3 linked regions of the Alligator mississippiensis genome follow. The protein of the gene in region 3 binds, or shares a complex with, the protein of the main gene of each other region. Links are inferred from orthologs where the notes say so. Each region holds a gene or a part of one and is shown on either strand. Other genes may lie near its edges.

Evidence for each region.
Region 1: the proteins of RPA1 (region 3) and HELB are in contact, whole or in part, in a crystal structure (PDB 7XV1), measured with the Homo sapiens proteins. The link is inferred for Alligator mississippiensis from reciprocal best matches to the Homo sapiens genes RPA1 and HELB. Residues at the interface, in NP_002936.1 of Homo sapiens: Asn29, Ile30, Arg31, Ile33, Arg41, Arg43, Leu44, Leu45, Ser54, Ser55, Met57, Ala59, Thr60, Gln61, Arg81, Ile83, Asn85, Leu87, Arg91, Val93, Ile95, Met97, Glu120; in NP_001357214.1 of Homo sapiens: Glu496, Glu499, Val500, Lys502, Ala503, Cys504, Asp506, Phe507, Glu508, Asp510, Asn512, Ala513, Glu516, Trp517, Thr519.
Region 2: the proteins of RPA1 (region 3) and RAD9A are in contact, whole or in part, in a crystal structure (PDB 8JZY), measured with the Homo sapiens proteins. The link is inferred for Alligator mississippiensis from reciprocal best matches to the Homo sapiens genes RPA1 and RAD9A. Residues at the interface, in NP_002936.1 of Homo sapiens: Asn29, Arg31, Ile33, Arg41, Arg43, Leu44, Leu45, Ser54, Ser55, Phe56, Met57, Asn85, Leu87, Lys88, Asp89, Arg91, Val93; in NP_004575.1 of Homo sapiens: Asp297, Phe298, Ala299, Asn300, Asp301, Asp302, Ile303, Asp304, Tyr306, Met307, Ile308, Met310.

What each region holds. Positions count from the first base shown.
Region 1 is NC_081827.1:67,692,867-67,696,610, reverse strand, and holds the start of HELB (DNA helicase B), read right to left. Parts: upstream 2,686-3,744; 5' UTR 2,671-2,685; coding exon 2,174-2,670; intron 1-2,173.
Region 2 is NC_081825.1:176,214,435-176,218,178, reverse strand, and holds the start of RAD9A (cell cycle checkpoint control protein RAD9A), read right to left. Parts: upstream 2,944-3,744; 5' UTR 2,893-2,943; coding exon 2,811-2,892; intron 1-2,810. UniProt on the Homo sapiens protein: Component of the 9-1-1 cell-cycle checkpoint response complex that plays a major role in DNA repair. The 9-1-1 complex is recruited to DNA lesion upon damage by the RAD17-replication factor C (RFC) clamp loader complex.
Region 3 is NC_081837.1:560,867-564,610, reverse strand, and holds the start of RPA1 (replication protein A 70 kDa DNA-binding subunit), read right to left. Parts: upstream 2,751-3,744; 5' UTR 2,677-2,750; coding exon 2,644-2,676; intron 2,305-2,643; coding exon 2,257-2,304; intron 1,963-2,256; coding exon 1,884-1,962; intron 1,415-1,883; coding exon 1,306-1,414; intron 617-1,305; coding exon 528-616; intron 1-527. Other genes in the region: SMYD4 (SET and MYND domain-containing protein 4), read left to right, coding at 2,956-3,077, 3,152-3,296, 3,370-3,459, 3,545-3,744. UniProt on the Homo sapiens protein: As part of the heterotrimeric replication protein A complex (RPA/RP-A), binds and stabilizes single-stranded DNA intermediates that form during DNA replication or upon DNA stress.

The sequences.
Region 1 (3,744 bases), on a different chromosome or scaffold from region 3:
CTTGGAAAAACAACCAGAGAGCTAACTCGGCATCCCCCAGGATACAGGATCCCTCAGCCTGTATTCAGGAATTAAACCAGAGTGACCTGCTGGCCAATTTTAAAGGACATCAGTGTGCAAACATCTAGTGCCAGAATCTTCCCAGGTGCTGACTCTTCCCACTTCAAAAAGGAACTTTTGGGCACACAAATAAACCTCTGAATCTCACCTAGATGCGGTTATATTCTTGTCTAACACCTGACTTTGAGTGAGACTCAGGGATTATAAGAGTTCAAACAAGGAGACAAATTCAACAAGTGCTGATAAACAAAGGGCGTGTCTACTTGAGACACTTACTGCACATTAGCCTGATAACACTGCAGTAGCGTGGCAGTTAAAAATTGTGCTAATAGCCTACTGCATAGTCTTATTAGGCTAAAGTGTCACAAAATAAGTGTGCGCTGGCACTACTGCGCAGCAACTCTAGATACTGGACATTTAGTACTTCATTAAACAAGTACTAAACTAAATGAGCAGTAATTAAGGCTCATTAATGAATGTGTAGACACACCCAAAGAATTTTACTCTGAGCACTACACTTAGACAAGGGTATAGGATCTGGCACCTAGCATGTTTTTAGTTTATTGCTTCTAAATTAATGCAAAACTTCCCCAAACATTTACTTCTCTGATAAAAAAATTAATTTCTCTACAAACTTTACCAGCGCTAGATTCATGGCTCTTTTTGTATACAACTGCAACAAAGCATAATTTGTAACTAGTTATAACTTTCAATTTTAAACATTAAAAAAAGTTTGGGCCCAGTTATTGCAGTATAATAGCTCATTAAATCAAATAGTACAACCTAGTCTGAGGTTTCAGATAATAAAGACTATGTATATGGAAGGAAACTATAATGGGCCAAGTCAATGCTAAGTGAAAGAAAACTGAGCCACTGCGCAGCACTTCACACCACAAAATGGCTGAACTGGCCCATGAATTGTTCTTTGCTCAAAGCAGAGACCACCTCCCCAACACCACCTGAGCGGCGAGCAGTACCAGAGCAGCCAGTGTGGAGATTGGCAGGAGAAGGGGGAGAAAGCCTATTTGATGCACAGAAAAACCAAGGGCACGTGCCCACAGAGAAATGGTTAGCCTCCCATGTTCTCAGAGGTACGAAGCTACAATTTCTTGGGACAATTTAAACCAGTAACAGGAACAGAAGTGGAGGTCAGCAGTTGACAAGGAGTGCTCCAGGGGCCACCAAGCAAAGCATATCACTGGGAAAACAGGGACAAGGAAACGGTGCAGTGTGGGATGCCTGCAGCACCACCCGGACACTATCACAGAAAGCGCGGTGTCTGCACCTAACACTGGGCCCAATCCCAGAGAACCGGTTACAAATAACACTGGATTTTCCAGGTACTTTTAAAAGATTGCAGGTGGTTTAAACTGTACTAAACCAGCTTTTATGTCTGGACGACCTCGGCTAAAACCGCACTGAAAATAGTTCAGGTGCTACAAGTGCCCACCCCCTAGGTGTTGATTTAGCCCCTGGCCAGCAGGCGGGATCTGGCCCGCAGGGGTCCCCAAGGGCCTGAAAATTTGGCAGTGGGGGACTGGGGGCAGCAATCACTGCTTCCCCCTGCTCCCAAATTTCCACTCGCTGCCTCCCAGGCGCTGGAACCAGCAGCCACATCCCAGCACAGTGGCATCCTGGAGCATCCCCAGGCGCCGGCCTTGCACCATGCTCCGGCACAGCTGATCCAGCCACTGGTGGGCAGAGATCAGGGCTCAGCGGTTCACTGGCGGAAGGGATAGTGCAGCCCCAGCCTCCACTGCCTGCCCTGAGCGCCAGCTGCAAGAGAACCAGCTGCAGGGGACACCCTGGGCGCTGCCAAGCCAGATCAGGCAGGGAGTGAATGCAGGGCTGAGCATCAGGAGGGGAAAGGCATAAGCTAGTAAATACGGTAAGTAAATACGGTAAATTGCCCTCCCCCCCACATCCACTCAGATTACAGGTGCTCAGGCGGTAAATTCCTTCTCTCCCCCCCCCGCAGGTCCACGCTGATTGGAGAGGAGACGCGAGGGTTCCACCCCACGCCATGACGTCACCTGCCCCCGCAAACCCGCTACACTTGAGGCGGGAGCGGCTAGTGCCTGCGTCGGCCCCTCCCCCCGGCCGCGGCGCTCACCTGCCCGCCGCGCCTGCCCGGCGCCCTCGCAGCTCAGTTCGGCGGGGCCCGTCAGGAGCGGCTCGTCCAGCAAAGCGTCCTCGTAGCCTTCCTCCTCCTCCTCCTCCTCCTCCTCCTCCTCCTCCTCCTCGTCGGGCCCCAGCCCCGGCTCGTCCTTGGGTGGCAGCAGCCGCCCCCACAGCTCGGGTCCTGGCCTGGCCCAGCGCTGCTCGCCCGCCCGCGCCATGCCCGCGCCCGGCCCGGCCCGGCCCACGTGTCCGGAAGGAGGCGCACGCCTCCGCTTCCCTCCCTGCGAGCGCGGAGCCTGCCCGGCGCGGCCCTGTGCTCCAGCTCCTGAGCTGCCCCGCCCCCAGGGAAGCGACTTCCTGTTTTGGCGGAGCGCGTTCCTCTGAGGCAGCCCCGGGCTCCCAGTGGCTGAGAAGGTGCTGCTGCCACGGCTGGGTCCGGTCTCTTCGCCCCACACCCGCACGGCGCCAGCTTGCGGCTGCATCGAGCATTCCCTCCTCGGCCAGGGGCCAGGTGGGAGTCGGGCTGTCACCCACTCGAGGCCACATGGGGCCCTGGGGCAGCAACCTCAGGCATGAATGCTGTGGGCCCCCCGCCCCGAGGCTGGGGGTCACGCAAGGCCGCACAGGCGGTGGCAGCAGAAGCATGGCTCCTGCAGGCAGCCACGGCGTAGGTGGGTGGCGAGCGCCGCCCAGCAGTTAGTGACCACCCACAGACGCTGCTGCGGCGATCACGGACCGCCTGCAGATGCTGCCGGCAGTGTCAGCAACGGGGGGTGGCAAACGGCAACCACCCGAGGGGCACCACCAGCAGTGTTGGCAGCGCCTTTTCACAGGGGGTGCACATGTACCCCCTACACATAGCCAGAGACCGAAGGTGCAAGATCAGGACCATCAGTGGACCCAGCCCATGGACAGATGGCACTGCCCATCCAGCTCACCCGCCAAAAATGTTGAGGGCTGCTGTGCTACAGGAATTCCAGGCCAAGTGCCATGCTCCTCGCTACATAGGGCAAAACCCCACACAGTCTATGGGGTAAAAATCCATCCCGACTCCAGATATGAGGATCAGTCTGACCCTGAGCAGAGGGACATACACCTCTGGCTTTGGTCCCAGCAGGAGTGTTGGCACACATCAGTCAAGGACCCTGCAAGCACCTACCCTGGAAATCTTCAACAGGAGACTAGACAGTCACCTTGCTGGGATCACCTGACCCCCAGTTCTTTCCTGCTTGGTGCAGGGGACTGGATCCTGATGATCTCCACCCCAGGTGCTGAGGGAATCGGCAGAGGTCATTGCGGGACTCCTGGCACTGCTCTACAAGCACTTAGGTGCTCTGGCGAGGTGCCAGAGGACTGGAAAAAAGGGCCAATGTAGTTCCCATCTTCAAAAAAGGGAGGAAAGAGGACCCAGGAAACTATAGGCCTGTTAGCCTTACCTCGGTCCTGGGGAAGCTCTTTGAGAAAATTATCCAGGAGCACATCTGCGAGGAACCAGCAGGGGAGATCATGCTTAGGGGGAACCAACATGGGTTCGCTAGAGGTAGGTCCTGTCAGACCAACTTG
Region 2 (3,744 bases), on a different chromosome or scaffold from region 3:
CTTGTACCAGTGAGAGCAAAGTGAGATGCTGAACAATGTCATTACATCCCAAGCCCTGCTGTTGTCTGATCCCGTATCTCATGGGAGGGGACTGTGCTGATGGGGTTAGGATAGGGCTGTCTTGGTGGAGACAGACTCTGTTCCACTAACCACATTGGCATGACATGGTCTATTATGAAGTCAAGCCAATGAGCCCTTCATTCTGTGTCCTGGGGCCTGGCAGTGGGGAGCACCTTTTTAATCACTTTGTGCTTTGCATAAAAGCTGCCCCTGACTTTGAGGATTTGCTCTGTAGCCCTCTCTCTGTCTGCCCCTTTCCCCACTTCATCTGAACCAAAAAAGTGATGAAAAGCCCACAAGCTTTAAGTAGAGAAATCAGAAACATGGATTTTGAATCCTACCTCTCCCTCCCTCATCCAAAGAGTTTATTCTAGGGCAGTGGGGATTACTTCCCTCACAGATAGTCAGATATTACTAGGCATGTAGGCATGCAACTCAGTTCTTGCAGAAAAGGACAACTTTAGGGAAATGTTACAAAGAGGCACCTAAGCTTTTTTCTTTTTCATTCATGTGTTCCTCTTTCTCTCTTTCTTCCCCACCTCCCCGGTACCTGTGTCTGGCACGCATCTATGCTGAAAGCTGGTGTCGTAGTGTCTGTAGTAGGGTAAGTCCCCAGGCTTCCAAATCAGGAAAATTTTCCTTGTCTGGGCTCAGTGTGGCATTGGGTCTGTAAAACTTTCCTGGTGGCATGTTGCATTGCACCATTCTTACCCACCAACTCCAACCAGTTTAAAAAAAGGCATCTTCTTGGATTGGGTATGAAACACACACAGTTTGAGGCAAGCATTCTGGGCTCACGTTTTGCCTGTTAGTGTTGCAAAGGGGAAAAAAAATCCCAATTTTAATCAGTCTGCAACCCACATTTCCCTACAGTCAGATAAAAAGCATCTACAAAAAATACAGGACGGAGAAATATGTGTATAAATGTGAATGTATTACATGCTTAAACTTGTGTTTATCTAAGAAGAAACACATAATTGCGTACAAAGACATTATATAGCGTACTGTAAAGATATCAGTATTTGCGCCAATCCTAAAGAAACTTAAACATATTACAGTCTTTGTACATGGTGCAATGTAGACTCCTTTAAATCTAATGTATGTGTGTCTGTACATATATATAGATGAATGATATTTAAATAAGTTGCACATTACAGCAGAGTTGCTGCTCAAGAAATAGTGGAAAGGTTGAACTATTCAACCTCTTAGGGTGAATTCTACCAAAGAAAAAATAGTTTTAGACATTTCAAACAAAAATATGGGGAGGCTGGAGTTTATTGAAACTATTATTGAAAAATTATGAGTTTTACCTTTTGGAAGTACCAAGAACTGTTAACCTAAGACAAGTTGGTTTGTAAGTGCCTTTGTTTTAAACAAAGCATCAAGAGAATGCTTGCAAAAATTAATACATTTCCCTTCCCAAAGTTCAAAGGACTGTAATAGTTTTCCATTTTCTATAAAGTGTAAATACTAGACACGTTTTAACAACAGAAGATAAAAAACATGGTTCACAAATGAAAATAATTTTAGGTTCACTTATTGTATTTCCTTCTACAGAACAAAAAACCCTTCCTGCTTTTCTTGTTTGAAAAAAATTTAAATATTTAGTAATGTGAGTAAACAGCATTTTGGGTTTTGTTTTATTTTTTGCTTTTTGCCATATCCCCAACATACCAGGTTTAATAACCCTTGATAGTTTATTTTAAATCTGAAGTTTATTTCCAAAGCTCTCATCTAACTAGAGGGACACCCAGAGCAAAGTTTGTCCTAATCAGATGAGGTTAATTGGAAACAAACTCATTTTTTAGCTGTTGTAATATACAAAAATAAATATTCATGTTTGTAGATCCTTGAAGCAAAAAGCCTCATGCATCTCTAGTAAGTCAGAATGCTAAGTCCCAACACAAGTGAGTTTTTACACAGATCTTGAAAATTCTTAAAAGCCCCTTACTAGAGCAGCTGAACAGAGAGGGGAACCGTCCCAGAATTTGGACATCAGAACTACTCAGTAGTGAAGTGAGTTTCGTATGTATTTTGCAAGCTGTGGAGTGGGATTTTTGCTGGAGTAAGAACTGCAGGATTGGGCCCATAGCTCTATACAGCTCTTGTGCACACAGTTAATAGAAGTATAGATGAAAAACAATGCAAAAATAGAATGATGCCTATGTACGTGTCTTCTGAACCCTTTGGACTTTTTCAAAAGCACTTAAATCTACATTGTGCCTATGTATGATATATACATACATACATACATAATATGTATGTATATACATATTACCTATAAATTTTTATGTATTACATGTAATAATTTCCTGGAGAGAGGGGTGCTATGTCTTTTTTAGAAGTTATTCACCTGTTTTAGGGAAGATTTTTTAAAATTTTTGCATTAAGAACTAACAACATTTTTACTACTAAATATTTTAAATTGGCAATGAGGAGTGAGTTTAAAAAAAAAAGGGTCAAGCAGATGGGAAATCTCTGCCTCCTTGTTCAACTTTTAAAGAAGTTGGAGCCTAATGCTGAGTCACAATATGCAATTGAAAGATCTTGTGTTGAAATGGGGCTGTGATGCCTTTTGCTGATTAATGAATCACAAATCTAACCCCCACAGCAGGAACAAGGCAAAAGTAAGAAAGAATGAATGAAAGAAGAAAACTTGTGAACTTTAGTAAAGAAGGAAGAATGGGAAATAACAAACCAATCCCCGAGAAAGGGCTCAACTTTCTTTTCACCAAAATGTTTGCACTCACCCCCTCCATCCCATTCTGGTGTCTGTCGCCTGGCGAAATGCTTAGCAGGGTTAGTCACCTGCCGATGACTAAACGTCTGCATGCTGCTTCCTTTCTCCCTTGTTTAGAGGCAACAACAACACAAAAATAAAAAACAAAAGCTCAACAATTGATTGTGTTTTGTTTCCCATGAAAGGGCAGCAGCAGAGGGAATAAAAAATAAACTAGCACTGCTTTTCCAAGTCCCGCGTCTGGCATTTGGGCTGGGGCAAGGGCAGGGGGCTGGCTTTGGGCTTGGATGTTTTTTCCCCCTTAGGGAAAAACTTTTTAAAAATCTGGAATGGGGAGGGCTGTACATGACAGCAAGAAGGGGAGAGACCGATCCAGCTTCTGTTCTTTCTTTCTATATCTATCTATCCTTTTTGTAACCATCAGTATATCTTTCTTCCTTTCTTTTCTACTCTATCTACATATTCTTCTGTTTTGTTTTTCCTATCTTTCTTTTCACCCGTCTGTACATTTCCATCTTCCCATCTGTCAATCTCTCCTTTCTTTCTTTCCATCTCTGTCTGTATCCTTCTTCCTTCCTCCTCACCCCCCTTGCTCCCCCCATGACACACCAGTGTTTCTAACACAGGGTGGCACCGCTTGCTTACCTCACCCCCTCTTACTAAAACTTTCTTTTGTGAAAAGAGAATAACCAATCTGCCTCTACCTCTCCTCCTCTCCCCCCTCCGTACCCCCCTCAGGGACTGGTGTTTCAGTTTGTGGTTAAAGCTTTACACGTCAGGAAAAAAAAAAGAGGGTTAAAGAATATCCTCACCAAAAAAAAAAAAAAAAAAAAAAAAAAAAAAAAAAAAAAAGCCAAACCCAAACCAAACCCTAAATGAGTGGGATTGGCAAATGGGATTATTAATCCTGGCCAAAAATAAAGGACCGCAGACTCTGTGCAGCC
Region 3 (3,744 bases):
AAAACAAAAGATTAAAATGGAATCACGTAGGCAAAATTGTATCAGGATTCTATATCCTCCCCCCCCCCCCATGATAATTAGCTGTTTCTTATTAATGGAGTAGTAACATCATGAAAATTCAAGACTTCCCCATACTAGATAGAGACAGAAACTGACTGTTTGGCCTTGGGTTTGTATATTAGAGAGAGACACTATACAAAAGTTCCACGTGCAGAAGAGACATTAAGGAACTGGAAATCACAGCTCTAGACAAGACAATTAGAGCCGTGCAACTTAGGCATACAGTAGCAGTATGTCTGAAAAGACCAGAGGTTTGCCTGCTCGGATGACACCAGGCCTCCCTTAATTTGGGGATGGTTTAGACAGCGACGATCCTCTTTGGAGGACAGAGTGGACAAGATGACCAGCCCTGTTTTTCTATCACTTGAAATTTGACTCCCCTTTTTCACTAAAGTACACAGCTGAAAGACCAGCACAGCAGTAAGTCTCTGAAACAACAAAATGCCTTTGTTTGCTAAGTTACCTACCTTCATTGTATGGCACTGGATCACCAATATTTCCACGAACCACATCAGCAGTTTGCAGAACATCTAACTCCATCAATATAACCACTCTCCTAAAAACAGAACAGATGGCAAGATACTCTACGGTTATCTGTCTTTGTCTGTCATAGGCTGCAAGTTTCTTTTTTGCATATATAAAGGCACTACAATCAGTACAGAATAGATTCCCTGGGGAAGGTAATGTCAGGAGGAAACAGCTTCATTACCCACCGGTTTACAACATTCAGTAAATGCAAGCAGAAATGGCGTGGGCTGAAACAAAACAACCTGAACAGTGCACATGAAACAGAGATGGGATAACGATTATTGCTATTTGCAAAGCCCTAAAAACGGTACCAGATTCCTTATATACTACCTGTCTCAAAAGTGCACACTAAATACAACTATGCATGCAATACAAAAGGCAACTTGAAGGAGAAGAGAAGGGTGGCAGTAAAAGTTACCAAGATTTTGCATGTGCCTGAATTGCGAATAATTCTGAAGTTTTTGTTATTTTGTCACAGACTGCAATGGGGCGTTGGGGGAGAAAGCAGTCCTTTAGGTATGTCAGGCCCAGACAAACTGGTTACAACCAGAACTCTGAATTGCTCCCAGAAAACTATAAGGGAGCCAGTGCCTACATTATGAGAACCCCCTGGATACACCTGTCCACTTCCCCCGGAACGAAGCGCTTGAGCTCCTCCCTTTCACCCGCTCCTTCAGCCAATTCTGTGAACACAAATATCGAAACAAACAAAAATACCTTCCATCTTTCAGGCTGTTAACAATGAATCTGTTCACCTGGCAGACACAGTGGGCAGACAAGCGCTCCTCTTCGACTAGAGAGTTCAGCTGTGTTGCCAACATGAAAGCTGCAAAAGAAAAGAAAAGAAAACCCCTCCGAAAGCTGCTAGCAAGGGACAGTACTAAAATGGCTAATTGCAACTTCTCTACTCCGACAAGTGGCGCTGAATAGACCTAAGGTGTGCACATTATCACGTCAGCCAGCAAGAGTCATTTCCTGGGCATAAGCTGCACGTCAGCCACCCAAAGCTGGAGAACGGACTACAGCGTTCAGGCAGCGATTAACGTAATCAGACACGTAACAGAATGGAAAATGATTCAACCGAGCTGCTAATTCCTCTCGGACCTCAGCGCGCGTAGAAGACTCTGCTAACGACGGAGCTGCTGCCCACGTTTTGGGTGGTCCGCGGCAAGACACCAGAACAAAATGACCGGCCCCAGAATCGAAAGGGACAGCCCGCACCACGCCCGTGACACCCCGGTGTCGGCTCTGCCGCGGAGGCAGAGGCACGTTCGCCCGCGCGGCGTCGCACTTACAGGACAGCGTGTTCACCCCGTCGCTCATCAGCACGCGGTAGCGCGGAGGGCCGCTGCCCGTGGCAATAGCACGCGTGTTCTGCAAGGGAAAGGCAGGGGTCCTCAGCCCTCAACCCACGCTACTTGTGACACACACGGCGAGGTGACACCTCGTCTGCAGACACGAATGGGGGGGGGGCTTTTTTTTGTGTGGCTTTGCCAGCAACTGAAACGCATTGTCGCAGGCCAGGTGCAAGGAGCTGTGCACAGGACATCTGCTCCCGGCCCAGCTTCCCCCGCCCGAGTCACGCCAGGGCGCAGGCCTGGCCCGCCCGCCCCCTGCCCACGGAGCTGCGGCGACCGGGAGCAGGAGGACGCTTGTGCGAATACTCACGATGACTTGCAGCACGGGCTTGGACACGGGCTCGCCCTGCATGATGGCCTGGAGAGGGACGAGAAGGAAGAAGGTCACACCTGGCGCCGCGGGGACAGGACCGCAGCTCCCTTCTCCCCTATGGCCTCCCGCGTCTCTCGGCCCGTCGCGAGCGGGTTTCCCTTCCCAGGGGCCGGGTGGGAAGGGCCCTCAGCAGGGCCGAGCGCCGGGGGTGGCTCGGCCCCCCGCACCCGGGGGCTGGGCGGGGCGTTACACGCGGGCCCCGGCCCAAGCGAGGGGCACCCGCCGGGCACGCGGCCCCTGGCCCGCCCCGGGGGACCCGCGCGCTCCTGCCCGTGAAAGACGAGCCGGCTCGGCCGCGAGGAGCGGGAAGCCCGCGCCCCTCACCGCAATCGCGCCCGCACTCAGGCGCGCGGCCATGGCGACAACAGCCCGCTCCTGCTCCTGCTCCCGCCGCGCCAAATCCCCCGCCCGCGTGACCGGAAGTGCCGCGCCGCTATTGGATGAGATGCCGGAAGTGCCTATGCCGTACGGCGGAAGTGCCGCGCCGCTATTAGCCGGGGTGCGACGGATGCCGGAAGTGCTAGTGCCGTACAGCGGAAGTGCCGCCCTCTATTAGCCGCGGTGCGGCGAGTGCCGGAAGTGCTGGTGCTGTACGCCGGAAGTACCGGTCCGCGGGCAGGCGGCCGCTGAGGGGACATGGCGCTGCCCGCGGAGCCGTGGCGGGTGCATGCGGCGCGGCGCTGGGAGACGCTGGGGCCCGCGTTGCGGGCTCAGCTGTCGGGCGCGGCCCCGCTGCGGTGCTGCTGGCGACTGCTGAGGTGGGCGGCGGGCCGGGGCTGGGGGCGGCGGCGCGGCCCTCCCTCTCCCCGTCCCCTGACGCGCTGTCCCGCAGGCCCGAGGACGAGGCGCTGCTGCGGGCGCTGTGCGGGCGGCGGGGCGCGGGCAAGGAGGCGGCGGCCGCCTGCTTCTACCGCCAGGCCGGCAACGCGCGCTTCCGCCGGGGCGACTTCGCGGCCGCCGCCGCGCTCTACTCCAAGGTAGGCCGCGCCGCCCTTTCCCTCCCCCCCTCCCGGCCCGGCCCGGCCCTGACCGCCGTCCCGCTGCCCGCAGGCCGTGTCGCACGCGGCGCCCGGCGGCCCCGAGCTGCCCCTGTGCTTCGCCAACCGCTCGGCCGCGCTCTTCCGTCTGCAGCACCCACAGGTGAGCCCGCGGCCGGGTGCGCGGGTGGGGCGGATGGTTGCGTGTTTTTTCCCCCCCCCCGTAAAGGCCTTTTTTTCTACCGCAGGCGTGCTTGGAAGACATCGAGAGAGCTCTGGGCCAGGGCTACCCCGCCGGGCTGCAACCCAAGGTCCTGCTCCGCAAAGCGGAGTGCCTGCTGCTGCTGGGGCGGTCGCGGGACGCGGCGCAGGCCCTCAGCGTGGCGGAGAGTCGGGTCGCCGGGGACGCGGGTCTGACGGGCGGTGCGCGCCGCGCCCTGCTGAGCCA